Ovis aries: one gene and its partners. The protein of the gene in region 3 interacts with the protein of the main gene of each other region in a biochemical or structural test. Links are inferred from orthologs where the notes say so. Each region holds a gene or a part of one and is shown on either strand. Other genes may lie near its edges. The genes, in order: DRAP1, AHR and TBP.

Region 1 (3,634 bases), on a different chromosome or scaffold from region 3:
ACCAAGCTGCTTCTCCTGGAAGACACATGTCTGCCTCGTGCGCATAGCTCCAGGGTCTGCTCAGAGTCACTGCCTGCTCACCAGCCAGCCTTCATGGGGCCCCCACCACACCACCTACCTCTGCCCCCACTGCCCCTCCTCATGTCCTTTAAGGCAAGTGGCCCAAGCTCTAGTTTCCCAGACTCATTTCTGTTACCTGTCCCTTTGCAGCAACCCAGAGTGAACAGAATGGTCTACATCAGAGAGCCAAGAAGAAGTCATTCAGAGAAGAGGAACCTACCCACGGACACACAGCACCATGAGACAGGCTGTCCCCCAGCATGACCGGCACCAGCTGGCTCAGACCCTCTGCCGCTCTGACCGGCCTTCCTTCCATTGGCACCCCTGGCCCTGCGCTGGCAGAACTGTGGCCTCCAGCCCCCCCTCTTCAGTCAGCTGCTGCCCAGCCCCCCGGGGCTCTGGGTCCCAGCTCAGCATCAGGAAGGAGGTGGAAGGAGAGAAGGAGGCCACAAACCCTGGACAAAAACCGGGACAGACGTGAGTGTTCCCTTTTGTTATTATTTTATTAATAAATTTAAGAACAGCTCTATGGTCTCTCTTCCCCCCAGAGCAACTAAAACAAACTAAAGGGGGTGTGGCCTGGGGGGCAGAGGGCGCTAGGAGTCATAATCCTCTTCTTCCTCTGCGTCAGGTGCTGAGGGGCCCGGGGGTGCTGGGGGCAGAGGCAGGGTCGAGGTGAAGGGCATGAAGGGTGTCGGGGGGCTGCAGGGGAGAAAGCAGTAAAGAAAGATCAGGCCACTCTCTGGTGCCCATCCCCACCCACTCAGCCCCACCTGGGCATCCCCGGAGCCCACTACCCTCTGTACCAACAGGGAGCAAGCCCAGAGAACGGAAGGACCCAGGGCAGGTCACACAGCCCCACCTAGCAGAAGAGGACCTTCTGAGAGTACAGTCCCCAGCCTTGAAGTCCTTCTTAGTTCTTCCCCTACCATCCCCCCAGTCTGCCATGACCAACAAAACCAAGTGGCTAGGGAGGCCAGGAGGGAGGCCAGAGTCAGTCTTGGGGTCAGTGGGCCCCTTGGTGCCACTTACCTCTGAAAGTGGGCAGGGGGGTGGCTGGCCTGGGGTGGGACCTGTGGTGTCTCCTCTTCTCCGTCACTGTCTGTATCCTCAGACTCATCCTGAGAACAAGGCAGGACTTAGAGACTAGAAGGGCAGGGCCCCATCACTGGAAAGCAGGGACAGGAGGCTGACCTCACTAACCCCAATTTACAAAGAAACCAATACAAAGGTCACAGGTGAGGGACCAGGCCCCCAGCCAGCTCATCCTGGCCTGGTATAGGGCTGCCCTGTCCACCCTATGGGCCAGAAGCCTAGGGCCTCACTCACCTCCTGCTCTGAGTCCGTCCCTGACAGCTTCTTGTCCTTGCCTTTGCTTCCCATCCCACCGTTCTTCCGGCCACTGCTGCCTGGCTTCCGGCCCCTTCGGGAAGGTACAGTACATCTGCCCACAGGTCTCCCCACTCCTTCACCACTCCCCAGCCATCCCCAAGTCCAGGGGCCTTGGCCTTCCCCACCTGGACACTGGTCCCTGGCACCCTACCTGCGGGGACCCTTGTCCCCATCCATGTGGTTGTCTTCTCCATCCCCCTGCATGTCAGGCACAGATGCCACCAGGTCCTTCAAGAAGTCAAACTGCTGCTCCAGCTCAATGCACTGTTTCCTGGAAGAAGTGGGAAGGGGTTGGCACTCGGATGAGGCCCAGACATCTGGGCCCTCAACAAGGGACAGTACGGACTCTGTGGATGTCAGGGGAATGGAACCTGGAAAATTTCCACCCCAACCCTCCCCCTTGGCCAGAACATCCTAATCCTCCTCCTCAAATCCACAGATCTCACAGCAGCCTACCAATTCCTTATCAGGGCACAGCCTCCCCCAGGCGTGTGAACTGGAGGAAGACCCCCAACTGGGCCCTCTAGGATCGGAGCCACTCACAGGTGGGATGTAGTCATGGTCTTGGCGTTTCGGGACTGGGTAACTTGGCATGCTTTCTTCAACAGAGACTCCAAGAAAAGCTCGAGCGCCCGAGCTGAGGAGGGTCAAGGAGAACGCAGGGTGGTGGCCCAGTCCACAAAAAGCGACCCCGGGGCTGCCGGGCTCCCCCACTCCCCCATCCCGACAGCTCCCGACAGGATACAGATGATGACAGGCACGGCCGCCGCCACCTTCCCAATCTCTTCATCCGTCTGCATGATCTTCTTGATTCGTGCCTGGGGAGGGGGCAGACAGCTCGGACCCCGTAGCCTCCGTCCCAGAAAGGGTGCTTAAGCCGGGCAGAGAGAGGGAGCATCCCGGGAGAAAGGGGGCGGGGGGCACCCACGCTGGAAGGGCACGGAAGGGGGCGGGGCGTACGGGGCCCCGAACACGGCGATGCGCCCGCCTCCCTAGTCCGGCCTGGGCCGGAGCTTCCCGAGAGCCCGGCCCGTTCCTCTGGGGCCCGCTCACGTGCTCACCGGCGGGAACCGCGCGTTGTACTTCTTCTTCTTGCTCGGCATCTCGGGGCCTCTCCCGCCGCGCCGGACCCAGCGCCGCCGCCCGCAGCCTCCCGGCACCCGGGCCTGCTCTTAGCCCGTCCGCCGCGGTTCCCCCGGGTCCTGGTGCCGCCGGCTCCGCCCCCAACGCTTCCTACAGGGTCCTAGCGCCGCCGGTCAGGACGCCGCCGGCAGGGCCCGAGCGCCCTCCCCCTTAGAGCCTCCCGGGCTTTGCGCGTCCGTCCGGGGCGGAACCGCCACTCCCGCCCGCCCCCAAGACCTGAAGAGCGAACGTTAGCTCCGCCCCCCAAGGCCCGCCCCTCCTCGCCTTCCCTGATGGCCCCGCCCCCATGGCCCCGCCCCTTCCCGGCCCCGCCCTGTGCTGCGTTTGTCTATAAAGTTCTTGTTGAGGCGCCGGGGTACTAAGATGGCGGCGGCGGCGGCAGCCGTGGCGGGGGCGGGGCGCGGCGGTGGCAGCGGCGCAGATCCCCGGCAGGAACGGAGCCGGGCCCGGGGCTGGCCCGGCGCCGAGCGCAGCGAAGGCCGGAGGTGACGCTGGGGTTGGCGGGAGGGGGCAGGACGGGGGCGCAGCTCGGGCCGTGGGCACTAATGGCGGCGGGCGCGGCGGGGCGGGAGGCAGGCTCTCCTGCAGCCTCTATCCAGCCGGGGTTCGAGTCCAGGCACCGCCCCGTTGGTCTCGGATCGGACACTGCCCGTTTCTCGCCTCAGTGCCCTCGTCTTTAAGTAGGTTGGATAACGCTCGCCCGGAGGCCTGGCCCCATGGGCCCTGCCTCGGTGCGGCGAGGACGTGTGCTTTGCCTCCCTCCATTAAATCCCAGCGCCCGGGAGAGCGGCCAGGCTCTGGCAGGGCCAGGAGGCGTAGCTGGGCCGGCGGTTCCCGCATTTGAATTGCCGTTTCGGCCCTATCACTCACTGAAGGTGTGACCTGCAGTGAGCCCCTTCTCTCTGAGCTTCGGTTTCCTCGTTTGTAGGTCAAGGAGAGCAGTAATAACACTAACTACATTTATATAGCTTTTGTTCCACCTCAGGCGGTTAATTCTGCACAACTGCTTGAGGCAGTAACAAGTTGTTATCCATTGTGG
Region 2 (3,747 bases), on a different chromosome or scaffold from region 3:
AAAAAAAAGAAAATGTGCAATAATATATTTACAGGGAAAATCTTTAATAAAATGGTAACAAGAAGCCCCAAATGTTAAACTTTAAAATGAATACAAAAATTAGAGCATTTCATTGAAGTCACCTAGGTCCTGTGTAACATACTTCCTGAAATGCAATAACTTAAAATTCTCAGGTTTTCTAACTATACAAATAAAACCTATGATATACATATATATATTATACATTATGTCAAGTGTACTTTTGTATTAACTAAAATACACAGAGGTGTCTGTGATGCCTTTCAATTTTAAATAACCATCAAGGACCAAGTCAAATTAGACAAGCACATTTTTTATAAGAAACCATTCTATAAAACACAAGTATTGTAAACCAATGTCAACAGAATTGCCAAGATAAAAACTGCTGACTTGACAGTATTCCTAATGTCAACCACGCTGCAGGATAAGTCTTCCAAATTTTAATCAGTCTATTTATAGATGAATATCCTCTGTTGATGCCAAGTCTAAATCTGAAGGACTGCAATCACTGAAATTCTAAAAGGAAATTAAAACCCCAGAATACTGAAACCTTTAAACTGGTCTTTAATATTAATTTTAAACTGCTATTTTTCTGGTTTGGATTAGTGACCTAAATTTAGTCTTAAGCCACATGCACACTTGTGATTTGTTCTGAGTAACCGTTTAAAGTGTTCTTAAAATTGTTTATGAAAGTTTGAAAAATGTGAAGTAAAATAACTCAAGGATAATAATTAGGAATAAACACATGAACATTGCCAACTCGAAAAAGTAAATCTGTGTTAAGCATGGATTTTTCTTTTTTTTTTCTGAAAAAAATTAAAGTATTTGCCATAATCACATAAATATCCCACCAAAACAAACAAACCTAAGTTTGTACTTTATCAGAATTGACCAAACTTTGAAGTAGAGGGAAAAGGGAATTAAGAGAATGATGCTAAGAATGAAAATGTCTGTTTCAATAATTCCATCTCCAAATTATTTGCAGACCCTAAAACCACTTCCAAAGTGATAAATCTCCCCCAAAAGATGACTTAAAATACAAATCTTCTACTGTATCCTGGCTACTACACTCACTCAAAGCTGCTATCACCTCTATACATTTTATTGATATGTTCACGCTGAGCGCTACAAAATTACTGCCAAATAAGTAAATAAGAGTATAACAGAAAGCCAGTTTCAGGGAACCAAAAAATACCTTCAGAGGCACTCAGCCCCTTTCTTGCACACAGCACGTGTTTAGCTATTTAAAGCATCTCGCCCTACCAGGAGTAAGAATGGTGACCGTCCTCTAACCTAACAGAGGAGGATATTAAATGTGAAAGGGGATTTCAAGACGGGCTTAGGTTAACTAATCCACCAGCCCCACAGGGCAGAGGAGAGCTGTTAACAAATTAGGACCACAGCACAGTGAACAGCGCTGCAAATGGCTGGAGGTGTGAAAGGGTGCTCTGGAGAAGGGGTTCGGGGGGGGGGGCAGAGAACGGGGGGCACAATTTTTAAAATGCAATCATTAATCACGGAAAAATCCAAGGCCTGGGGTTCTCGACCGGCCTCCAGATCTCGATTCCACAGACTGCACAGGGAAGGGACCTAATCCCCTGGCCTCGGGGATTTGGGGGCGGGGTGCGGCAGTGTCCCGCGCCTGAGCGCCCACCTCCCCACAGCACAGAGGACAGGCTCCGGAGACTCACGTTTTCTGCACCGGCTTCCGCCGCTTACGACTGGCGTAGGTGATGTTAGCGCTGCTGCTGTTCATGGTGCCTGGCTGGCTGCGGCTCCTCCCGGGCGCGGACGGCCCTGTCCCCGGGACCCGGCGGCAACTGGGACGGGGTTCCACTTAACCGCGGCTGCTCCACCTGCGCCCTCCCGGGGCGATGGCGGAGACACAGCACCCCAGGAGCCGCAGGGCTTCTGCAGCCCCGCACGTCCAGGTGCGCGGCCCGGGCCTGGCGCCGAGGGGCGAGGGGCGGAGACCGGGGAGGCTGGAGGCGCAGGTGCCGTCTGTACCAGCTGAGGCGGCGCCGCGCTGCCCGCAGGTGAGGCGGCGCGAATGGAGGAGGAGCCTGGGCTGTCTGTTTGAAATCCCGGCCTGGGTCGCTCGCTGTGGCGGCGCGCCCCGTGACCGTCGCTGCGGCCCCTTGGGTGAGGGAGGCGCCGCCGCGCTGCGCTGCTCCCGGGATTTCCCCGATCCCGGGTGCTTCCCGCCTGCGGAGCTCGGACTCCGGCCGCTGCTACGGGTGCCACCAGCTTCCGCTCGGCTATGCGGCTACCTCTGGTCTGAGCCGGTGGTCCCAGTCACGCTTTCAGAACCTAGCGTCAAGTGGACTCGCCCTGCGATGCCTCCCGCTGCTGCTTGCACCGGCTGAATAGCAGAAGCGCCCCCGACCCCTCTCCAGCCCCGCCCCGCCCCTCGTAGCCCCGCCCCATCCTACTTGGCCCCGCCCTCCGCTATATTTCCCTTGAGGGCCCCACCCTCCCGGCACGTGATGACGTAAGGCGTAATGACCCCCACCCTCTCCAGTAGCCATCTTCTTGAGGTCAAGGGGAGGAATCTGTGGACACATTTCCAGTCCATAAAGACATGTGACGACAAATTATGTGTAGCCAAAGTCTTTGTAATCAGACAACCTCAAGGAAAGAAATGCCAAGTAGTGAGCTTAAATTCACCTTTGCAAGAGACAGTGAGTCAGCCAACTTTTGGCTAAGCATTACAGTGAGCTGGCAGATAACCTGTGGAACTATAAATCTTCCTAGAGGAGAAGGCTTCAGGAGGCCACATCTCAGTTGAACTTGAAGGCTAGGCATTTTTCTTGTCTTTTTGTTTTGAGTTTGATTTTTGTCTCCGTACAAGACAGTATAGTATCTTTTCCCCAGGCAGAATAACTGTTACACTACAGTCAGATTTCAGGAAGGTGGGAAGGCAGGCAGCAGGAGGCATTTGAGAATAAGCAGTCTGGTATAGCTGGAGAGAGAGAAGCTGGAAGTGAAATCCAGGAATCTAGGGTCAAATCATAAAGCCTGATCAAGAGTCCACATATTATTCTGCAGTCAGTGGAAACCTTTGAATGATCCACAGCAGGCAAGAGACATTCTAGTGTTTTGGAAGTTTTAAATGACAGTGCAAGCTGGATTACAGGAGAAAAAGACTGGATGCCGAGAGAGTAGTTAGAGTTGTTGAAGTAGTCCAGGTGAAAGTCCAGGGAAGTGACAGTGGGATGGAGGGGAAAAAGAGCAGATAATAAGGAAATAGACAAACAAGAGAGAGCAATCTCAAGTACCTCCAACATTTCTGACTACTCCTGTGCCTTTACCCAGAAAAGTAAACACAGGAGTGTGTTTTGCTTGTCAGGAGAAGGGCAATCAGACTAAGAAGTCTAGATGAAATCTGGCACCATGTCCATTCCTACATTTCAAAATGTCATCAAGCCATTTCCATCCGGTGAGTTTGTTACCTCACATTCAGAACATCAATAAATTGAACATTGTTTTCTTTAGCTGAAACCTCACTGTCATATACTCAACCATTATCCTATCAACCCTATGAAATATCTTCAACTCTTCTACAACTTACATCTAAATATTCCAACAAATACTATTTAATTTTGTGTATTGCAACATCCCTAATTCATCTTCTGCCACGTTATTCTTCAATAATAACACAAAAAATGCCCAACTCAAATGCTTTATCATTTGAGATTCCTATCCAAATATGGCGTGCTTCCCTCCTAG
Region 3 (3,647 bases):
TTTGTTTTCATTAATACATTTCTATTCTGTCCTGCAATACTGAAAAGGCGGAATGTGTCTGGCACAAAAATAACCCTCAGGAGTTACAAATTAGAAAACAACACTTTTAAAAAAGAGTTTTACTTTTCTGGTAGAAATATAAAAACTGTGGTTTATGGGGAAGAAATTAAACAAAATAAAGTCCAATCAATTGTTGAGGTGGCTTTAACACTTAGTTTTGTCCCTTAAACCAACTTGTCAACAGCAGTAAGTGTTTAAAATCTAAATATAAATAACAGGCAGCACTGCCCGTGTAGCAGCACAGTTTGAGCCACTTACAGGGACGCTCTGGTGTTCTCTGTGCAGAAACACCACCCCTCCGGCACCCCATGGGGGCACGCGTGGAAGAGCTCCACCTGGTGCTGCACCCTGCAACCAGACGCCCATCCTCTACCACGTGGGGCCGCCCACACCACCGAGTGAACCAAAACCGACTGGTTTAAAGGAAAAGGTGGGTGGGGGAGGCAGGAGAACACAGCAGCCATTACGTCGTCTTCCTGAAGCCCTTCAGAATAGGGTAGATGTTCTCAAAGGCTTCATAAATTTCTGCTCTGACTTTAGCACCTACGAAGACAAGTGGAGTACAAGAGTCTGAAATGGCGTTTCTTAACAAAACCACAAAGGCACAATTCTCTCCATGTCCAGTAAGACAGATGCAGGCATCAAAACATTCACAATGGGATCCCTTGCCACCATCATATTTTTGTTTTTAAAGTGGCATTTTCTTAATTTGGCTTTTTGAAAAAAGAATTACCAAAGCAACAAGACAGATGACTGCACCTCCCATGCCTAGTCTGCCCACATGGCAGCTGCTGTCTCTGCACCAGGGCAGGGCCCAGCAGGGCAGCGGTTGGCAGTGACAGAGGTCCATTCTCTCAACTGCCGCTTTCAGCCAAGCCTTTTTGCATCTTCTTTTGTTGAGGCAAAATGATAATGCTGAGGGAAACCAAAGTCTTAGACGATGGTACCCAACTTAAAACACCATCTATTATGCAATGTAATGCTCACCTCCACCCCTCCCCGCCAAGGTGATGCTTCCGTCAGCAAGGCTGTGATCTGACTTTCCTCAGCTCACCACCTCTGGTGGATGTTCCCCGTCAGTGTTGAGGAAGAGAGAAAAGCGGCAAAGCTTCTCTGCAAGTCACTAATTAGCTGTCCCAACACTGTGATATTACTTCCAAGTACTGAGAAAATGCCACTCTCGACACTTTCAAAACTTCAACCACTACTTTCTGTTACAACTTACCTGTTAATACAACTTTTCCAGAAACAAAAATAAGGAGAACAATTCTCGGTTTGATCATTCTGTAGATTAAACCAGGAAATAACTCCGGCTCATAACTAGAAGGAAAATAGCAACAACAGTTTGGATTAGCAGCTGCTCATGCCTTTAGAAAACACGAGGACCTGACCAAGGGAAAGCACTGGGCTAGCCACAAACTAAGGAGGGGGTGAAGCCCAGTTCTGCAAGCAGCATTTGGCCAGTGAGGCTGACCTGTCACTAGCACTTGAAGACCAACTAATTCTGTTTCTAATGAATCTGGATTTCCTGACATAAGAACAAGAGTTTTATAAATGTGTTCTGTAGTCTCTGATCTTTTATCAAGTTTCATTCTGGACAAGTTTATATCAACTTAAAAGAGCCCAGTAATTATCCATCTATAAGATCTGCCAGTCACACAGTTGATTTTCTAATCATTCACATCGCATCTCCTTAAAGTGAAATATCTTCTAGCTGCTACGTTTGCTCAGGCAATTTAACCAAAGTGCCAGAAAAGACACTGGTTGGAGACTGAACCTTGCCCTGTTTTATCTGATTAAATGCACTATTGGTACGATTTTGTTCTAACCCTAGTAATCTCACTTTGTTAGATGGAAAACAGGATGTATGACCGTGTTTAACTTACTGGAAAATTCAAGGCAGGCTTCTCTGAGGAAGGGAGACGCTGGGATGGATACATGAAATGCCAGTGGGAGTTTCTTAGGTAAAAAGTGACAGAAGAGTGTGCCAGGGATAAAAGTGGGATGTGCAAGGGTCCTGGTGCAAGAGGGACATGATAAGCCATGGGGCTGCTGTGAGCAGACAGGCTGTGAGAGGTGATCAAGGACCACCTGCCTTTGAAGTCTTCTTCAGGAAGTAGAACAAAAGACTCAAACAACTGGGGGGAAAACTGATACAAGAGGTTGTGGGTTTCATTTGTTCATTTAAAATGTATTTATTGAGCAATAAAATGATGAAACATACAGAAGGGAATCAATTTCATGCCAGTAAAGGGGAGTTCTGGGTGTCACTGAGTTACAAGATAGAGAAGTAGGAGGCTGGTGAGCACAGTAGGTACTACCAAAGAAATCGGGAAGACACTTCAGCAATAAATGTACCTATCAGTGTATCATTTGTTCTTACTAATTATTCAATGGAAAAGACTCTGATGCTGGGAGGGATTGGGGGCAGGAGGAGAAGGGGACGACAGAGGATGAGATGGCTGGATGGCATCACCGACTTGATGGACGTGAGTCTGAGTGGACTCCGGGAGTTGGACAGGGAGGCCTGGCATGCTGCAATTCACGGGGTCGCAAAGAGTCGGATACGACTGAGCGACTGAACTGAACTGAACTGATTATTCTGCTTAAGTTTTACCATGAACAATGTTTAAATAGATCATAACTTTAAATTGTTGACAAAAGCAACCACCCCATGTATTTCAGACTTACCTACTGAATTGTTGGTGGGTTAGCACAAGGCCTTCTAACCTTATAGGGAACTTCACATCACAGCTCCCCACCATGTTCTGAATCTTGAAGTCCAGGAACTTAGCTGGAAAGCCCAACTTCTGTACAACTCTGGCATACTTTCTTGCTGCTAGTCTAGACTGTTCTTCACTAGGGAAGAAAAAGCGAGCTATTCATTCTCAAAGACAGCTGACGCAATTATTTAGACGAGAGAAACTTTCCCACGTCCTTGACAGAAAACTGCAGGCCTACCAAAACGAGTACCTTTCAAGTCACCAAATTATTGATAGCCCCAGATTTCATGGATATGAAGTATAATATCAGCATCACCATTATCATGAATATTGCTGTATTTAAGCCCACAAATTTGTACTAAGATAAAAACCAACAAGCGTCACTTTGATAGGAAAATACTGATGAGATTTATGCTCAAAGAATGTATACACTAATTCCTCTTTTATGGTATGTCCTTCTTTATCCATTCCTAGAACTGACTTGTTGGATAAAATATGACTTAGCAGTGCAGGGCTTCTGTAACAAAAGCAGAATGAAAGCCGTAGCATCATTGTTGACAAAAGGCTATCAAGTGCACAGTCACGAATGCCGAAAGTCTGGCACGTACACACGCTGAGTTACACAGAAATAAGGTTGGAACACACGTCCTAAACTAACGCCTATTGTTAAGAAAATGAAGCCGCCACTGTCTAAGGTGATGAGAATCAACTACTTTAATACGAAAGCAACAGTAACACTGTGTCTGCATTAAAGCAGCAGCCTAGCCCTAGATGCCATGGCACAGCCGTCTCTGTAACATGCAGGCCTGGACAAGGAGCTCCTCTAACCCACCTCTTGGCTCCCGTGCACACCATCTTCCCAGA

What was found.
Region 1: the proteins of TBP (region 3) and DRAP1 are reported together in a solved structure, tested with the Homo sapiens proteins (2 studies listed by BioGRID, with this or other methods). The link is inferred for Ovis aries from reciprocal best matches to the Homo sapiens genes TBP and DRAP1.
Region 2: the proteins of TBP (region 3) and AHR form a complex in vitro, tested with the Homo sapiens proteins (2 studies listed by BioGRID). The link is inferred for Ovis aries from reciprocal best matches to the Homo sapiens genes TBP and AHR.

The regions. Positions count from the first base shown.
Region 1 is NC_056074.1:40,464,039-40,467,672, reverse strand, and holds DRAP1 (dr1-associated corepressor), read right to left. Parts: upstream 2,688-3,634; 5' UTR 2,556-2,687; coding exon 2,514-2,555; intron 2,271-2,513; coding exon 2,198-2,270; intron 2,090-2,197; coding exon 1,996-2,089; intron 1,724-1,995; coding exon 1,604-1,723; intron 1,484-1,603; coding exon 1,390-1,483; intron 1,182-1,389; coding exon 1,093-1,181; intron 763-1,092; coding exon 657-762; 3' UTR 545-656; downstream 1-544. Other genes in the region: C21H11orf68 (UPF0696 protein C11orf68 homolog), read left to right, coding at 2,959-3,080. UniProt on the Homo sapiens protein: The association of the DR1/DRAP1 heterodimer with TBP results in a functional repression of both activated and basal transcription of class II genes.
Region 2 is NC_056057.1:26,779,349-26,783,095, reverse strand, and holds the start of AHR (aryl hydrocarbon receptor), read right to left. Parts: upstream 2,387-3,747; 5' UTR 1,775-2,386; coding exon 1,710-1,774; intron 1-1,709. UniProt on the Homo sapiens protein: Ligand-activated transcription factor that enables cells to adapt to changing conditions by sensing compounds from the environment, diet, microbiome and cellular metabolism, and which plays important roles in development, immunity and cancer.
Region 3 is NC_056061.1:91,748,260-91,751,906, reverse strand, and holds part of TBP (TATA-box-binding protein), read right to left. Parts: coding exon 3,616-3,647; intron 2,920-3,615; coding exon 2,752-2,919; intron 1,381-2,751; coding exon 1,286-1,380; intron 604-1,285; coding exon 524-603; 3' UTR 1-523. UniProt on the Homo sapiens protein: The TFIID basal transcription factor complex plays a major role in the initiation of RNA polymerase II (Pol II)-dependent transcription.